Rattus norvegicus: one gene and its partner. The protein of the gene in region 1 interacts with the protein of each later gene in a pairwise test. Links are inferred from orthologs where the notes say so. Each region holds a gene or a part of one and is shown on either strand. Other genes may lie near its edges.

Region 1 (3,512 bases):
GCATTCACTCTTCTATACTAACTGCATTCTCATGAAGCAAGCTTTAATTATAATTAGGGTCTATACATAGTTATCCAAAGGAAGAGAATATATATCTCAGCAAATATGTACTTGATATTTTAACAATCATAAATTAACACATCGGATCTGTGGGTTTTCAAATAAATCATCTCTAATGGATTTAGGGGTTTGGGGTTTTTTGTTTGTTTGTTTGTTTGGTTGGTTGGTTGGTTGGTTGGTTGGTTGGTTTTTGTGGTAGCTACCAAGGTTTCACCGTCTCTAGCTAGATGAAAACAATTTCTGAATGTATTTAACAGAAAATAATACAGACAAAATAACAGCTGTATAGAGTCACCCTGAGAAGACTTATCTAAACTATCAGGTGATCCCAGGTCTTACTGGGTGTGACTGCAGTCAAATTATAATGTGGCACTTGTGGTAACTGGTTCTGGTTCAGGAAGTAGCATCAAGTAGTCAGCACGTACCAGGCAATACTCTACTATTATGTCCGTACTAGAAAAAAGGTTCAAAGGCTTACTCTATGGTCATTTCCTTAGTTAGGCTTTCCATTGCTGTGAAGAGATGTCATGACCAAAGCAACTCTTATAAAAGACAACATGTACTTGGGGGTGGTCCACAGTTTCAGAGATTCAGTCTGTTACCATCCCAGCAGGAAGCATGGCATGCAGGCAGACATGGTGCTAGAAAAGGAACTGAAAGTTCTACATCTTAATTTGAAGGAAGCCAGAAAGAGTCTCTCTCTTCTGTATTGGAACTGAGCATAGGCCTTCAAAGCCCTCCCTCACAGTGACACATTTCCTCCAATAAGGCCACACCTAGTCTAACAAGGACACACCTTCTAATAGTGTCACTCCCTGTGGGCCAAGCATTCAAATACATGAATTGTGGTCAAACTTATTTAAACCACTACAGCCATTTTCTCAATTCTACTCTTTCCAAAAGCAACTATCTTTAAATCAATATTGAAATTATGTTCTTTCTTTAATATATATTTCTCCTTAATATATAATATTATATAATTTATAATTTATATAATTTTTGTGTGATACAATTAATTTTCAGAAGTGCTGTCAAACATTGTCTATAATACTATAAGAGATCAAATCTTACCTTCAAGGGACTTGTGTTACCCTGCGTTGACAAGGTCTTTGGTGTTTGGGGAAGCTTGCTCTCCTGTGTGGGTTGCTGATCCAGGCAACAAGAAACTGGATTTGAATAGTCCTCACTGTCCTGAAGGGTGCAGCATTCCAGTTCCTCCAATAAGGCATCTATGTCACAGGAAACAAGAGGAGTATAATGTAGAATCTGTGAGTCTTCAGGATTATTTTCTTCTTAAATATTCTCTTCTTGTTTTGAATTAAAAAAATTTACAAATACCTTTTTCCATCCTTATCTCCCTTCAGGAGTGTGGCATATCCCAGAAAATGTCTGAGATTTACTATGGTTGCATTCAATTTCATAGTCTCTTTACAATAATTTCTGACAGTCTAGGTATTGATTTTAACCAAATAGGGCAGATCTCTCTCTCTCTCTCTCTCTCTCTCTCTCTCTCTCTCTCTCTCTATATCTCTATATCTCTATCTCTTTCTGTGTGTGTATATGTGTGTGTGTTGTGCACTTGCATATATATTTCTTATTAGAAAAAGAGAAACAACTGGATTACAGTTTTTCAAAATATACCAACAATATACCAGGCAAAACATTTTTTTATCCTGATTTTTTAGTTTATCTCAAGGGTTAGCCCAAGATCATAATACAATAAATTGTTAAGTATTTTGGTGTTTTGTTGTTGGTTTATATTTCTTGGATGTGGAGAAGAAAAGAAGGTTGAAAAAAAAGAAACTAATGTATTATGCAATCAAGCAATATGTAGCAATCCAAATTACTCGGACTTCTTTTGCAGTTTTCTTGGTAAAAAGCCAACAGACTTCAGAAGAATTTCACTAATACCTTTCTGTTGCAATGTCAATAATCATAACGATTACAAATTAACCATGCCAATCATAGTATATGATGAATACAGTTTGCATTTAATTATCTTGACAGGTTGAAGTAGAGGACATTTCTGTTCTCATTTTATATAAAGGAGAGAGACAGTGCAGCTCTCACAGGCTGGTGAACACAGAATCAGATCTCCAATGAGTGCTATCTTATTCCAGTCTCAACACTGTCAACTTGTACACTGAAGTTGCCAGTATCACCAGATTGTCTGACTCATCTTAAGCACAGCATGTTCTCTGAAGGTCTTTCTTCATCTATATAATGAAGCAATTGAATGGAAGAATTTTTTTTTTCAAATTGCCAATCAAGATACTTGTGTCTTTTTTTTGTTTTTGAACTTCAGAAGACTTTTAAAATATATGTTATACTTTGTATAAGCTTGCAAAGTATCAGATTATATGATGTCTAAGGACCCGCCTATCTCTGAAGTTCTCAAATAAAGAAAATGAACTTTAAATGTCATTGAAAAACTTGCTCATGTATTTCATATTTGGAGAGAATGGAGTTTTGCTCTGTCTAGTTTTTAAGAGAGGCTGCTGTAGATCAAACCTAGAATTTACCAAGTAGCACAAGATGGCCTAAAACTCAATGGTCCTTCTGCTTCCACCTTCTGACTGTTGGGGTTTTATGGGTGTGACATCATGTACAGCTCAAAAACTGTCTTCTCCCCACTGTCTTCCTTCTTAACAATGCTGAACCCAGGAACTTGCATATACGAAGTAATGTATGTCGTGCCACTAAGCCACACCCCCAGATTAAGGATGACTATTTCTCAGTATTTTAGGGGAAGATCTAATTGTTTTGTTTTCACAAAAGAAATCTTCTGTAGAACTTGCTCAATCACAAAAGTTTGACCTTCATATACCATTTTAGAAATAACCAACCTGAATCAATCTCTTTAGGCTAAACTGCCCTTCAAGAAATAAACAGACAAGAAAAAAAAAAGACAGAAGGGGAGAAGGGACACATGTATATTAAGAGAGAACTAAGAGATATATAATTTTAATTTAGATCATTAACTTAAATTTAAAAAATAAACAGTCAAGAACACTGATAGTATATGTTGGAGATTTATGTTAACTTGTGGTCAAAAATTTACAGGCAAGTGAAAAATAAGTCCTGTTGCAAATTCAGAATTCAGTATTCAGCATGAGTTTCATAAGCATTAAGAAGATGATAAGTTAAAATTTTTAAAGGATATTTAACATTGTATAGTTAACAATATTAAATGCTAACATCTTAGAAATTTGAAAATATTGACATTAAAGTGATGTCAGTTAATCTTAGGTATGATAATGTTATTTCATGATATTGAGGAACCACTATTAAGGTTATCAGCTTCTGTTAGTATGGTTGTTTGTTATAGATTAAGACTGAATTACATACAGATAAGAAATATAACAATTGAGATTCCTTAAAAACAATGAATGGATGGAAAAAACAGAAGTATGTGAAGTAAGAATGTCAAGAGCTAATGATTATTGAAGCTG
Region 2 (4,170 bases), on another chromosome or scaffold:
TTGAGGATAGCAGTCAACTTATTGGGAGGGTGGAATCCAAGTTGTCTGATATTTCCTTTCAATCACACTGCCACCTTCTGAATTCTTCCATCGACCCCAAAGAGATCGCCCTCTTCCATCCCTCCGTTGCTTTTTTTCCGTTCCAAAAACAGCCTACAATTTTATTTAATGAAAGACACATTTATGAACAATCAAATGATCCTCATAAAATTTTTATTGAAGGACGTAAAAACAAGCTACTTGCCCACGACCGAGGTCGCTCTCTCGATTTGCCCGTTCTCACCCTGGCTCTCTGCAGACAGAACCTCCGAGTGACTTCTTTGGGGGGGGGGGGGTGTTGTAGAAATGGACCTGGGCGCAAAGGAGGATGAGCAGGCAGCTGGGCTGGGGATGCCCCACTTAAGTTGTGTAGCTCTCTCCTCCACTTCTTCAGGCTGGCAAAGAAACAGAGACAATAAATTTTAAATAAAGGCTTGTATGTCTGTGCTAAAGCAAGAGGAGACTTGTGGGGCTGATGATAAAGGTGTGTGAGCTTCCCAAGCGTTACTCCTCCCACTCCACAGACCACCTTTCCCAAGCTTCCCATACCCTAGATTTGGGAAACTGAGCTGGCCAGGGGCAGAAGAACTCTCCCCTTTCCTTCCTTCCCTCCCTCCATCCCAGCTTGTTCAGTCCCCTCCCACCCACCCTCCCTCGCTGCTAGTGCTGCTGTTCCTGAAAGAAATACATACATACACAGTATTTAAAAACGCATTTTTAAAAGCCACGTTCCGAACTGACAATCGCTGATCTCCGTTCACTCAGAGACTGCAGGAGCGTCGGAGCCGACAGAGACAGATTACGTCAAGAAATAGTTCCTCCACCTACCTCGTCCGGCCTCCCCGCCCCTGTGGGGCTCCCCGAGCCCATCTCAGCTCTGGGGGTCCAGGAACCCTGGCTTCTGGGACTGGCATTTTCGTCTTGTTTTTTTTTTTTTTTAAATCCTCATGGTAGGGGGAGCCATCTGCTTTTGGCTGCACATGGTCAAGGGAGGGGGGGGGTCCCTGATGAGATATGATTCGTCCGGGGAGGGGGGGCCTGTCTGGCGCCTTGGGTCCAGAGTTGCAAATCGCTAGGAAAACGCAGGTCGCGGGGATCAGCAGAGAGAAGGGGGTGGTAAAGGGGGGAAAAAAGCAAGGGGGAAAAAAAGCCCCTGCGCATTGATCCGCGCCGTATTTTTGGGTAAATACGATCACGTGGGGGCTGGGGAACCAATGAGCTGCCGGGAAAAGGCTGGAAAAATAATTACCTGCCTTGATTGTTCTGTGAGCAGATAAAAAGTACATATACAGTTCATACAATAATCTTATGTATGTAAAACCCTGTTACGATGTCGGCGACGGGGCCCATCAGTAACTATTACGTGGACTCGCTCATCTCTCACGACAATGAAGACCTCCTAGCGTCCAGGTTTCCGGCCACCGGGGCTCACCCTGCCGCCGCCAGACCCAGCGGCTTGGTGCCGGACTGTAGCGATTTTCCGTCCTGTAGCTTCGCGCCCAAGCCGGCTGTATTCAGCACGTCGTGGGCGCCCGTGCCCTCGCAGTCGTCCGTGGTCTATCACCCTTACGGCCCCCAGCCCCACCTCGGCGCCGACACGCGCTACATGCGGACTTGGCTCGAGCCGCTGTCCGGCGCCGTCTCCTTCCCCAGCTTCCCAGCCGGGGGCCGTCACTACGCCCTCAAGCCCGACGCCTACCCCGGGCGCCGCGCCGACTGCGGCCCGGGCGACGGCCGCAGCTACCCGGACTACATGTACGGCTCTCCCGGGGAACTGCGCGACCGCGCCCCGCAGACGCTGCCCTCGCCCGAGGCGGACGCGCTGGCCGGCAGCAAGCACAAAGAGGAGAAGGCCGACCTGGACCCTAGTAAGTTGGGAGCAATTTTCCTTTACAACCGGCTCGGGAGGGGAGGGGAGGCCAGGCGGGGACAGCTAGATTACAGCCCCTCCGAGCGGCGCGGGCAGTGCGGGAAAGGAGCGAGGGCGAGGGGGTGAGGACTCAATAAAAGCGAATTACCTTGGGGAGCTCTCATGAGGAGAAAGGTCTGAGAAAAGGGCCCAGGCAGCCAGGTTGGGTGAGGGCCAGCCAGAGGGGCTTCTTTCCCAGAGGCTGGCTTTGAGGGAAAACTCCTGAGTCCCCCTCTTAGCTCTTTTTTTTTTTTTTTTTTTTTTTTGGCTCAGTGATCACTTGTGTGTGTGTGTGTGTGTGTGTGTGTGTGTGGGTTTGGGGGGGAGTTGCTGCAAACAGGGACAGGGGCTGGGCTGAAGGGCTAAAATTCATTTTGTGGCTTGAGAAAGGACAGAGCAGAGGTGAGGAAGATAGTTGGAGCAAAGGGAGAGATATTATCCCTACCTCTCACAGCCAGAGTGGGGAATCTTCATCCCACTAGGGGTTTTTAAAGCAGAAGGTCCATTGACTTCTCCCCCAGGAGAAGAATCTGGGGGTGAACAGCCTAGGAACTTAGGTTAGGACTTCCAGATATAAGTGGAGGAGAAGTAAGGTCCGAGTTTCCTTAAACTTGAAAACCCACTTTTAAGTGTCCACAGGAGAGAAAGAGTTGTGAATGGGGATCAGGAACGTATAAGGAGGAAAAAAATCTTCAGATTAAAGAAACACACACACACACACACACACACACACACACACACAGAGAGAGAGAGAGAGAGAGAGAGAGAGAGAGAGACCCCCTTCAGAGAGACAGGAGTATTCTGGGTGTTGCATAGAAGAGGGGTGCTGACTAGAGTAGGTAAAGAGGTGGGGGGCAGGTGGAAGCTGCAGGGTCAAAGAAGGGAGAGAGAAAGAAGGAGAAACAGCAGGGGAGGGGTGCAGTCCCCTGGATGAGAGGAAGTGTCTGGGGGGGGATCCCCAGGAGGAGACTTCAGGAAATCTTTTCCTCTAGCTCTATAAGGGGCCAGGGCCTAATTACACCCCTCTGAAGGCTTCCCTCCCTGCTCTCAGCTACTCTCATAAACCTGAAATTGGAGGGTTGTCTCCTGCAGAGCTGTCCTGGGGCTGGCTGGAGGAGTGGGGCACTGGAGTCCAACATAGGAGGGAGCCTTTCTCCAAGGCCAGCAGTTCTGTGAGGAGAGGGGAAGGTTTTCCTCATCCTGATAACTTCACCCTGATAATTCGCCTCAGCAGGGTTGAATTCTGAGCGGGGAGATGGGTACTGGAAAGAAGTGAGGGTTTAGGGACTCTCAGGACTTGGTCATGGGCTGTGAGGATGGGAGGGGGCAGAGGAGGAGGGAGGTGGGGAGGAGAAGGACCTTGCTATAAAAATAAAAAACAAGAGAGAGAAGCGTTTATGGGCCTATGAAATGGTTGGGAATTTGGACTTTTTATGAGGATATTCTCGAATTACTACTCTTGAAGCTGAGGACCAGGCTGTGGGGGCTTTGATAGCTTAAATTTTACTACAGTTTTAGGTGCTGGAAACTGAACAGGGAGGGGACATGGGGAGGGGGCTGGATGCAAGAGAAAGGAGGAAATGCCTACAGCAAAATGTGTCCAAATTCAGGTTCAATTATTGAGTTTGGGGAGGTTGACTAAACCTAGAGGTGGGATGACAGAGGTCCTGAGCTGGAAGAGAACTCTACTGACCCTTGCCTGTGTTTGGCCCTCCAGGCAACCCCGTGGCCAACTGGATCCATGCCCGTTCCACAAGGAAGAAGCGCTGCCCCTACACCAAGTACCAGACGCTGGAACTGGAGAAGGAGTTTCTCTTCAATATGTATTTAACTAGGGACCGTCGGTACGAGGTGGCCCGTGTTCTCAATCTCACTGAGCGGCAGGTCAAAATCTGGTTTCAGAACCGGAGGATGAAAATGAAAAAGATGAATAAAGAAAAAACCGACAAAGAACAATCCTAAACCCTGCCCCAGCCTGCTGCCTCGGCACAGCCAAGGGAAACACAAAAACCCCACCAAAAAATGCCCCAACTCAGGCGGGAGAAAGCACGAAAAGAAAAGGAAAGAACAAGATAGAGAAAAGCCCAACGTCTTAAAAAGAAAAAAAAAAAAAGGAAGGGGAAAATGCAAACTCTTTCGATGTTGGGAGGGTTAAGTGTTGAGAAATTGGTGTTTAGAGTTAGTTCTATCCATCGAGGAGGAGGCAGGAGAGAAACTGCGTT

Evidence for each region. The genes of interacting proteins can lie anywhere in the genome.
Region 2: the proteins of Lpxn (region 1) and Hoxc9 interact in binary tests that used the Homo sapiens proteins (3 or more experiments, as listed by UniProt). The two-hybrid records come from large-scale screens. The link is inferred for Rattus norvegicus from reciprocal best matches to the Homo sapiens genes LPXN and HOXC9.

The regions. Positions count from the first base shown.
Region 1 is NC_086019.1:219,358,667-219,362,178, reverse strand, and holds part of Lpxn (leupaxin), read right to left. Parts: intron 1,290-3,512; coding exon 1,132-1,289; intron 1-1,131. UniProt on the Homo sapiens protein: Transcriptional coactivator for androgen receptor (AR) and serum response factor (SRF). Contributes to the regulation of cell adhesion, spreading and cell migration and acts as a negative regulator in integrin-mediated cell adhesion events.
Region 2 is NC_086025.1:135,995,923-136,000,092, forward strand, and holds Hoxc9 (homeobox protein Hox-C9), read left to right. Parts: upstream 1-1,369; coding exon 1,370-1,907; intron 1,908-3,665; coding exon 3,666-3,910; 3' UTR 3,911-4,047; downstream 4,048-4,170. UniProt on the Homo sapiens protein: Sequence-specific transcription factor which is part of a developmental regulatory system that provides cells with specific positional identities on the anterior-posterior axis.